Linked DNA regions of Ovis aries. The protein of the gene in region 1 purifies or fractionates together with the protein of each later gene. This does not show direct contact. Links are inferred from orthologs where the notes say so. Each region holds a gene or a part of one and is shown in the gene's direction. Other genes may lie near its edges. The genes, in order: CUL9, RBX1 and APEX2.

What was found.
Region 2: the proteins of CUL9 (region 1) and RBX1 purify together in Homo sapiens (affinity purification with mass spectrometry; 5 studies listed by BioGRID and IntAct, with this or other methods). This does not show direct contact. The link is inferred for Ovis aries from reciprocal best matches to the Homo sapiens genes CUL9 and RBX1.
Region 3: the proteins of CUL9 (region 1) and APEX2 purify together in Homo sapiens (affinity purification with mass spectrometry; 3 studies listed by BioGRID and IntAct, counting the BioPlex papers as one, with this or other methods). This does not show direct contact. The link is inferred for Ovis aries from reciprocal best matches to the Homo sapiens genes CUL9 and APEX2.

What each region holds. Positions count from the first base shown.
Region 1 is NC_056073.1:16,785,657-16,789,307, forward strand, and holds part of CUL9 (cullin-9), read left to right. Parts: intron 1-870; coding exon 871-1,276; intron 1,277-1,698; coding exon 1,699-1,891; intron 1,892-3,651. UniProt on the Homo sapiens protein: Core component of a Cul9-RING ubiquitin-protein ligase complex composed of CUL9 and RBX1. The CUL9-RBX1 complex mediates ubiquitination and subsequent degradation of BIRC5 and is required to maintain microtubule dynamics and genome integrity.
Region 2 is NC_056056.1:217,992,983-217,996,825, forward strand, and holds the end of RBX1 (E3 ubiquitin-protein ligase RBX1), read left to right. Parts: intron 1-160; coding exon 161-246; intron 247-886; coding exon 887-950; 3' UTR 951-960; intron 961-2,230; coding exon of another isoform or gene 2,231-2,293; 3' UTR 2,294-3,282; downstream 3,283-3,843. UniProt on the Homo sapiens protein: E3 ubiquitin ligase component of multiple cullin-RING-based E3 ubiquitin-protein ligase (CRLs) complexes which mediate the ubiquitination and subsequent proteasomal degradation of target proteins, including proteins involved in cell cycle progression, signal transduction, transcription and transcription-coupled nucleotide excision repair.
Region 3 is NC_056080.1:53,047,606-53,050,424, forward strand, and holds the end of APEX2 (DNA-(apurinic or apyrimidinic site) endonuclease 2), read left to right. Parts: intron 1-927; coding exon 928-1,833; 3' UTR 1,834-2,225; downstream 2,226-2,819. UniProt on the Homo sapiens protein: Functions as a weak apurinic/apyrimidinic (AP) endodeoxyribonuclease in the DNA base excision repair (BER) pathway of DNA lesions induced by oxidative and alkylating agents.

The sequences.
Region 1 (3,651 bases):
AGATCATGGCATCCAGTCCCATCACTTTATGGGAAATAGATGGGGAAATAGTGGAAACAGTGTAAGACTTTATTTTGGGGGGCTCCAAAATCACTGCAGATGGTGACTGCAGCCATGAAATTAAAAGACGCTTACTCCTTGGAAGAAAAGTTATGACCAACCTAGATAGCATATTCAAAAGCAGAGACATTATGTTGCCGACTAAGGTCTGTCTAGTCAAGGCTATGGTTTTCCCAGTGGTCATGTATGGATGTGAGAGTTGGACTGTGAAGAAGGCTGAGCACCGAAGAATTGATGCTTTTGAACTGTGGTGTTGGAGAAGAGTCTTGAGGGTCCCTTGGACTGCAAGGAGATCCAGCCAGTCCATTCTGAAGGAGATCAACCCTCGGATTTCTTTGGAAGGAATGATGCTAAAGCTGAAACTCCAGTACTTTGGCCACCTCATGCGAAGAGCTGACTCATTGGAGAAGACTCTGATGCTGGGAGGGATTAGGGGCAGGAGGAGAAGGGGACGACAGAGGATGAGATGGCTGGATAGCATCACTGACTCGATGGACGTGAATCTGAGTGAACTCTGGGAGTTGGTGATGGACAGGGAGGCCTGGCGTGCTGCGATTCATGGGGTCGCAAAGAGTCGGCATGACTGAGCGACTGAACTGAACTGAACTGCCTAGGGGAGGGTGGAGTGAGGTTAGAGAACTTAGAGGTTAGAGAGCTAAGGAATCCTTCCCTGGGGATAAGGCAGAAGCTGGGAGGGTCTAGGAGGCAGGAAGTGTGCAAGGCCCCAGTGGGAGGTGGCCCACCTCCTGTTGCTGTCCCCAGGCCCTTGGTGTCTGCTCCTTCCTGAAGTACATGCCTTTCTGTTGGCAGAGCCTGGGTAAGAAGGCCCTGGGTGAAATCTCTGTGCCTGTGACCATGGCAGAGAGTCTACTACAGGTTCTCAGGGATCGGTTTGAGGGCAGCACCCTCAGCGACCTGCTCAACTCCCAGATCTACACCAAGTACAGGCTGCAGCCCGACGCTCTGAGTGGCTCGTCATCTTCACAAAATCACTCCAGTACCCCAGATCCTGAAGAGGAGTCGAAGTCAGAGGCCACCTTCTCAGAGGAGGAAACTGAGTCCCCCAAAGTGAAGGCTGAGCCCTCCAAGGCAGAGGCGGAGCCGGTCAAGGGAAAAACCGAGCCGCCCATGGCACAGAGCGATTCACAGCTGTTCAACCAGCTTCTGGTGACTGAGGGGATGGCTCTCCCCTCCGGGATGAAGGAGGCAGCCAGTGGTGAGTCAGGTGCTGGGAGGGGAGGGCAGAGAGGTGGGAGCAAGTCCTGGGTGCCCCCCAGAGAAGTGGGTGGTCAGTGGGGAGGGCACGCTGTGGTGCGAGATCACTTCTGAGTGAGAAGGTGCGTTGGGAGCTTGCATCCATTTTCCTTCCTTGGACCTTGATTATGTACAGTCTGTCACTGCTGCCTTCCTTCAGGGTCCCTGGAAAAGGAGGGTCCGTTTTCTAGAGTATCGTCATCTTCATTGCCTGACTATTAAATCCCTCACACAGAGTTGGGAACGTTCTGGATCCAAGCTACAGTAGTGAACAGGGTGTTCAAATGTCAGTAGGATAATTGGGCTTGACCGTTAGAGGGTTCCAAGGTGAAGATGCCGCAGTTGTTTTTTTTTAAGCCGCCGCCTTTCCCTCACAACTTTCAGAAATGATTAGAGCCTTGCGGGGTCCTGGGCCACGCAGCTCCCTGGACCAGTACGTGGCAGCGGTTGTGGCCACTGTGCAGATCTCCAGCGTGGACACCAGCCTGCAGCTCTCAGCGCTCTGCGCTCTCTCCCAGGCTGTGGAGGAGGTCACAGAGCGAGACCACCCTCTGGTCCATCCTGACAGATTCCTGAGGTTAGAACCCTGGGCAGGGAAGTGGGGGTTACAGTGTAAGCTGTCAGCTGGGGGAGGATAGTGGTAGGGAGGGAAGGAGCTAGGAGATCAAGAGTTAGAAAGGCTGGGGGAAAGAAGGGCCAGCTTGAGGCATAACTGAGCAGGAAGGTGGACTGTATGATGGTTAATATTCTGGGAGCACTTGTTCTGTGCCAGGCCCTTGTGCTTAAAGTTTTATAAGCATTCTCTCTTTAAATCCTCCCATCTGCAGAGGAAAACCTGATGCTATTCTTATCCACCGTGTGGATCGGGGACTGAGGCTTAGAGAATTTAAGTAACTCGCCCAGTATGACAGGTAGTAGAATCAGGATTCAAATCGAGATCCTTTTGGCTTTTGAGCATTTTTTTTTTCCTCCCTCTCTACTTTCTTCCTATTAAATTAAGAAATAATTAATGAATTAATTTGGCCACATCAGATCTCAGTTGTGTCGCGCAGGGTCTTCGTTGCGTCATGCAGGATCTTTCATGTGCGGGGCATGGACTCTCTAGTTGTGGTTTGCAGGCTTAAAGCCCCTTGGCGTGTGGGATCTTAGTTCTCCGACCAGGGGTCGAACCCACGTCCCCTGCATTGCAAGGCAAATTCTTAACCACTGGACCACCGGGGAAGTCCCCTAAAATTTTTAAAAAATACTTGTTAGTTACAAATAGTACACCATTGTGTTCCTTTTTTAAAAGATCCAGAGAATGAAAAGTCAAAGTCCCTTTTTACTGCTGTGGTCACACATCCAAGCACGTATCCTTCAGACCTTCTAGAGGCTTACATTTGCTAGTGTATTTTGTGCATTTGAGTTTTAGTATATGTGATCACACTCTGTCTGTTTCTGCAGCTGTCTGCCTGCACGCAGTGTGTCTGCATGCGGTATGTCCATCCGCGTGGTGCTGCCTCGTTCTCACTGCTGCCTTGGACTCTGCAATATGATTATACTCAAAATCAAATGTAGCCTGAGTTTGTAAAATTTTACTTTCTTGAAGCATATAGTTGATTTACAATGTTATGTGAATTTCTGCTGTACAGCATAGTGACTCGATTGTATATTCTTTTTCATATTCTTTCCCATTATCTTTTATTTGAAGATACTGAATATGGTTCCCTGTGCTATACAGTAGGACTCTGTTGTTTAACCGTCCTATATATAATAGCTTGCAGCTGCTACTCCCAAACTCCCTGTCCATCCCTCTCCCACCCTCCTCCCCCATTTGGCAACTACACGTCTGTTCTCTCACATACAGTGTTCTAAGGGATCTATTTTTCTTCACATCTGCCAGCGACTGGCTATTATCATTTTCAAAAATCTATCAGGTTGACAACATTTTAAAGTGATTGGTATCTTTTTGTCTTTAATTTCTTGAGAAGATAGGCATATTTGCATGCGCTTCTTGTATTCTGCTATAAATATTTTTATCCTTTGCCCATTGTCTTATTGGGTCTTTGTCTTTTTTTATTGATTTGCAGACATTCTGGATATTAATTCATTATTGCTGTTCCAAATATTGTCTCTTCTATAATCATATTTATTTTCTGAATATAAAATAATATATATGATCCCTATAAGAAAATGAAAGTTATAAGAATAACGATCATCTGAAAAGCCTCTATGCAGGGATAGTCACTGTTAACATTTTAGTAAACATCCTTACGTATTTCTTTGTTTATTCGTGTGCATCACCTCTGTATATTAACTTGTTTACAGTAAATCAGGGCTCCAGAGAGGGGGATATAT
Region 2 (3,843 bases), on another chromosome or scaffold:
TGTGACCCCTTGTAGACCTTTTGTCTCCCATTGTGTGCTGCCTTCCATGGTTCTTCTCCAGCCGCTGTGTATCACCACCCTGCTCCCCTTGAGATATATTGTCCGTAGACGGCTGAGCCTGCACAGAATTATTTTTAATAAAATGTATCTTTTCTTCCAGCATGCTTTCCACTTCCACTGCATCTCTCGCTGGCTCAAAACACGGCAGGTGTGTCCGTTGGACAACAGAGAGTGGGAATTCCAAAAGTAGGTGTCCCCGGCTGTTTCGACATCGTATGTAAGGTTGGGCTTTGTGGTCAGTACTGTTCTTGGACCCACGTCAAGCTGGAGGGTGCACAGTTTTAGAAGATGAAGACATAGAACATGGCTGGTTCATAAAGTAGCTTTCGGTTAGTTAGATGAGGACGCGTCTCTGTGGAAAGTGTATAAGGTGAACCAGCATTAGAAACTTGCAGCCTGGAGTTTCCCAGCCATCTAGGTAGGGTCTTTGGAAGTAGTAGTAGAAGCTTGCAAATTCTCATTTTGCAAGCTATTAAATATTTCCACAATCACATCAAGAATAAGGCTCCAGGGGCTAACTAATGTCATCTGTCTTTGCTTTGGGCTAGAATTATATCATGTTTCATTGGTTTATCTCACAGGGATTAATTCTGATACAGCATCTGTGGCTATCTCAACTAAATCATTATTGTTGCTGCTGTTAATTGTAGTAGCGTGTAAGTAATACACGGCGTGCAAATTTTCAAAACTTCAAATGATCAGTCTGTACTAGTAATTCCTAAAAGAGGAATTTCTGGTTTAAGAGTATGTATGTTTTTATTTTTGATAGTGTCAGATTTTTTTCCTTTCCCAAGAGTATGTACTAATTCACAGCCCCTACCAACAGTGAAGCAGAAGACTTCCTCCTCCATTTCTTGCCAGTGCTTTGTTATCAGACGTTTTCATCTTAGCTACTGACAGGTGAAAATTAGTTTTCAATTGTATTTTTTAAAACTTTGAGTAAAGTTGGGCTGCTTTTCATATGTTTTTATGCCTGTTGTATTTGTCTGTGAAATGCTTTTTTATCTGTTGAATTTTCAGTTAATTTATCAAATTTTTAATGGAAAGGGGGATTTTCGAAGTTCTCAAGAGACCTTTGTAATTGACTGTGCCGTGGAGCAGGCTCAGGGTGCCATCTTGGATCAAAACTGTCTCACGTAGCCCATACACGTGCCCAGGGCTGAGCCTAAGAAGTGGGGGGGTGACGAATCCTCCTGCTAGGCTTTGACACTGTCGCTTTATCCAGCTGGTGACTTTGCCTGGCTGTGGTTATGAGCGCCCTGGGAAAACAAATTCATAAGAAGCAAATTTCATTTCAGCATGCTTTAAACTGATGGATAACTTCTAGGTTATTCTCACTAACAAGCTGGAGCTCTACCCTGTGAGGACTTTTTTAGGGAATTTTTAAGCGAATTTCTTATAAGGAGTACTTAAAGAATCTAGCAGCCCTTCAGGATGATGGCAACAGTGATGCAGAATTCTGGTGCCCTGGTCTCCATCTGTGTAGCAAAGTATTTTCATTAGAGGCGAACTACCCACTAAGAACCATGGCCAAAGATTAAGATAATAATGGATTCTGTGTTCAAGAAATCTTACATGTGGAAAAAATGTCCTACCATTGGTTATAATCTTTCTGGAGCCAAGTTTTGGCCTCTGAGGAAATCAGAAAGGACCTGAGATCCATAGCTAGTTTCTCGACAGTTCTTTCGGTGGTGCTCAGCAGACTCAGGGCTGTAATTGGAACTGGTGATAGATTTTGACACTGAAGGCTGTTCGGTTACTATCCTCTGTAGGGGTCTTACCCTAAACTAGCCCAAGTATGGGAGTTGAGGGGAAGAGGCGGCCCACAGGGAAGAGGGCGGAGGATTCAAGCTGTCTTAGCTGCATACTGGCCATCAAGTGCAGCTCCCTTTCACAGCCATTAGCCGTGACTCCTCCCTGTCACTGCCCAGTATCTGCCTGGCACCAGGAAAGAGTCAGGTGGGTGCAGTTGAGTGGGGGACCATCACTATGAAGAGGGTGGTAGGGACAATGTTACAGGAGGCCGGTAGGCTGAAAGGGGCAGAGACAAGGGTTGAAACCCAATCTTCAAAGTTTTAACCAGATTGGTGGATATATTTTTAGCAGGTGTTACAGTCTCAAACAGGGAATCACGATAAGGAATGAATTAATAATTTACTTTGTCTTCCAGGTATGGGCACTAGAAAAAGAATTCTTCCATCAAGCTCAACTGTTTTTGTTATCCACTGAATGACTTGCCCTCCTGTTACTTATTATAAATTAGATAGAACTGTGTCTCTTCTGCTTTGTCTTTTCAGTTTGCTATTCTGGCAGCCATACTGTATTCTGTGTCAAATAAAATCCAGTTGGATTCTAGAACAGACGCTGTCTTTTGTGTATGTGCAAAAAGTGAACACAAGTAAAGGGCCTCCCGCCCCTTTCTAGGGTGGAAGGCTAGGTTTTGAAAGTGAGGTGTTTGTTCATCAGAGCCAAAGCAGGATCGTCCTGTGAGCACGTCGCTTGGTCTCAAGGAAGCCTGGTCCACAGCCTGGCTGCTGCTGATGATCTTGGGCGAGTGGTCTGTCTGCTCCGAGCTCTTCCTCCTCCGTGAAGTGGCTGCTAAGGACTAAACAGGATCATGTGGGCACAGAAAGAGGCCTTATAAACTGTGAGAACGCTGTACAGGTGTTAACTTTGTGTATGACATGTTGCTTTCTCATTTTAGTTTAGAAAAGTTAACTTGAAAAAAAATTAATATGTCATCTTGGCTGGCGATGGAGTAATCTGTGAACTCAAATTGGAAAACAGTGTCATTTAGAGTTAACGGGAGAATTCAGGTTTCCCTTCCTCACCACCACCCTTTGTAATTTGTTTAAGATGCCTTGGCTGTGGACAGAACTGCCAGTTCTAACACTACTTCAGTCTCTTAGTCTTTAACTGAGAGGCGGGTTAATTTACTGCAGTGATTCTCAAAGTGTGTGCTGAGGACTTGCGGGAGTAATGGAAACACTTTCAGGAGGTTCACGAAGTTCCTTTTCCGGCTGCGTGTCTGTACAAGGCCAATTTTTCTTTTTTTCCTTCAGACAAAGCAACGTATTGAATGAAAAAAGAGAGCAGCAAATCCAGCTGTCTTCTGCTAAGTCAGATATAAAAGAGATTTGCAAAAATGTAAAACAGTGCCACTCTTCTAACTTTTGTTTTGAAAACTAGTTACTTTGAATAAAAATATTTATGTTAACGTGATGGGTTTTTGTTCTTTTAAAATCTTTTAAATTTCTCAGTTTGATTTCCATTGTGGTAAATATCTGTGGATGCAACCCCCATAAAAACTCTTTGGTTTCTTCAGTGTGTAAGATCATAAGGGGATCCTGAGACTCAAAAGTTTGAGAACCTCTAGCTTAGTAATAAGAACTTTGAGGTCCAACCTGGGTGGAACCCAGCTTCCCCACTTGGCCGCCAGCAGTGCAGTCGCTCAGGGCCAGGTGGCTGCTGCCGTCGATGTTCCTTCCACCCTCGGCAGAAATCACCTCCTTTAAACCCCTTTCAGGTGGTCATTCACACTGCAGGAACACTTAAGCGATGCAGAAGAATGGTTTTCACACAGCTGGCGTCACATATTTGCAGAGTTCTGCCTGGGTGTTCATAAAGACCCTTGGTTGCAGAGCAGCCGACTCCAGCTTCTGCTTAGGTCATGGAACGTTTGTGAGGGCTAGGGGGCTGTGTCCTCTGAAAGGAGTAAGGGACACAGAAGGGGCTGGACCTAAGAATGAATGACTAGAACCAGGGCATCCCTGCTGGGATTCT
Region 3 (2,819 bases), on another chromosome or scaffold:
TTGTCCTTCTCTACCCTCCCTTTTCCCATTCAGTTGTCCAGTGAGTACTGTTGATTCTAGCTCCAAATCATCTCTTAATTTCGTTTTATCTCCCCTGGCACCACCCTAGTCTAAGTAACCATCATATCTTGCTTATGTGGACTATGATAGTTATCTCCTATTGGTACTCTGGTCCACAGTCTCATTGCCTCTCCAGTCTTCTGGGTACACTGTTCCCTCCCTCCACAGGCCCATTGCATAAGTTGTTATCTCAATTTGTAACACCTTCTGCCTAGGTTATTCTTGCTCAATCTTCACTTCTCAGCTCCAGATCACTTGCTAAAAGAAAGCCTTGTTGGTCCCCAAGACTAGATCAGGGTCCCACTTTGTCACTCATATCACACCTGGCACATAGTCAGTGTTCTTTGAACATTTGTTGCATTGAATGGATGAGTAAGTGGATTGGGTGGATGATGAATTAGGAATCAGGGCCAAAGGAAGTATTCAGTTGTGAATCCTTTGAGCCCGTCAAATACCAAAACAAATACCAAAATAGTACTAAAGGGTTTACATGAAAAGGCAACAGTCTTAACTCCTAATTGTAGCCCAACTTCCTAGAGGTAACCATTCTACACATCTTACTTTCCATTCCCTTGGTGAGCAATTCTGAGAATTGCTTTGATTAACCAACAGGAAGCTTTCAGGCCCAGGATTTATGGCCCAGTGCAAAGTAGATGTAGCTTGATGCAGAAGTAAAAAGAAGCATGAGCTTTTAAATCAGTAAGGATGCAAAGTGAATCCCAGCTCTGCCAGTTCCAGACTGTATGACCTTGAGCATTCTTCTTTGGAACAGCCACATTTTCTTGTCTGTAAAATGAAGCAGTTAGTCCCTTACAGTTCTAGGCATCTAACTCTGCCTCTTTCTTTGTCTTCTTCCCTTTTCCCCAGGAATGCTTTGAAGAGGACCCAGGGCGCAAGTGGATGGATGGTTTGCTCAGTAACCTGGGGTGTGAGAGTGGCTCCCACATGGGACCCTTCATCGATAGCTACCGCTGCTTCCACCCAAAGCAGAAGAGGGCCTTCACCTGTTGGTCGACAGTCAGTGGTGCCCGCCATTTGAACTATGGCTCCCGGCTTGACTACGTGTTGGGGGATAGGACCCTGGTCATAGACACCTTTCAGGACTCCTTCTTGCTGCCTGAGGTGATGGGCTCTGATCACTGCCCTGTGGGTGCAGTCTTAAGTGTGTCCTCTGTGCCAGCAAAACAGTGCCCACCTCTGTGCACCTGCTTCCTCCCCGAGTTTGCAGGTACCCAACTCAAGATCCTACGATTCCTGGTTCACCTCAAACAAGATCCTGTGTTCAAGCAATCAGCACTACAGCCCAGCAATCAAACACAGGTATACATGCGCCAAAACAAAGCCCGTGTGCGCTCAACTAGGTCCCGGTCAAGTAAAACTGTCTCTAGTAGAGGCCAAAAAAACCTGATGAGCTACTTCCAGCCATCCTCCAGTCGCCCCCAAACTTCTAACTTGGATCTTCCTAGCCTGGGCACCCTTAAGACCCCAAAGACCTCAGAAGAGGACATGATGGCCAATGTGGTGGAGGGGCAGGCCAAGGCTTCAGAGGCCAAGGATGAAAAGGAGATAAGGACCTCATTCTGGAAATCTCTGCTGGGAGGACCCTCGCCCATGCCCCTCTGTGGGGGACACAGGGAGCCATGTGTAATGCGAACTGTAAAGAAGCCAGGACCCAACCTGGGCCGCCACTTCTACATGTGTGCCAGGCCCCAGGGTCCTCCCACTGACCCCTCTTCCCGCTGCAATTTCTTCCTCTGGAGCAGGCCCAGCTGAACCAACGCAGGCCTAGAGATGTCTGACATAGTCTACCTTGTATGGTCTGAGGCCAACTTCCTCCTAAGCTGCCTCCTCCTTCCTCAAGACCTCCTTTCTTCCTCCTCTTTCTCCTCCTCCTCTTCCACCTTCCTCAAGGACCCTTCCCCTTTCCTCTTTTTCTTCTTCCTCTAAAGCCTCCTTTTTTCTCTTTTCTTCCTGCTTAGTTCCTCCTCATTGGTGAGCTTCTTGTGCTTAATGCTTGTGACCCAGTCCCCCACCCCACTTCCCACCTTCCTCTCAGAAGTACACCAGAAGCAGTTGCCCCAGGAAGTTGTAATTTTAAACCTCTTCTTACCTTGCCAGAAAATGTATCTGTGCCTAAATAAAGTCCATGTCTTTGTTGTAGTGCACCATGTCATATGGACATTTTGGATGTGCCCCATAAAGTTGCGTTAGAGATGTTATCTCAGTCCCGGGTTTGAACTCCTAAGGAGAAGTGATGAAGGAAGAGTGGTGCTCACCATAAAGGTTCTCTGTTTAGTTGGGGTTTCCTGTACTGCTGAGGTTGGGTCATCAAGGGAGATGGGTATGGTGGGACAGAAAGCTCAGGTGGGCTGTATGAAAGTGTTAATCACTCAGTCATGTCCGACTCTTTGTGCCCCCATGCAGTGTAGCCTGCTAGGCTCTTCTGTCCATGGGATTCTCCAAGCAGAATACTGTAGTGGGTTGCTGTTCCCTTCTCCAGGGGATCTTCCTGACCCAGTGATTGAAGTTGGATCTCCTGCATTGACAGGTGGATTCTTTACAGTCATGAGTCATCAGGGAAGCCCCAGGCTGTGTAGCTTTAAACCAATGTTTCCCAACTGATGGGTCTCACAGCTGCCACAGATGTGTTAAAGGGTGGAAAGAAATGGATCCCTCAAACCTAGAGTTGCCAGACAGGACCAGGAATTAATTGTACAAGTATTAGGAAATATTGCCTCCTAGGCAGGAAATATTAATTC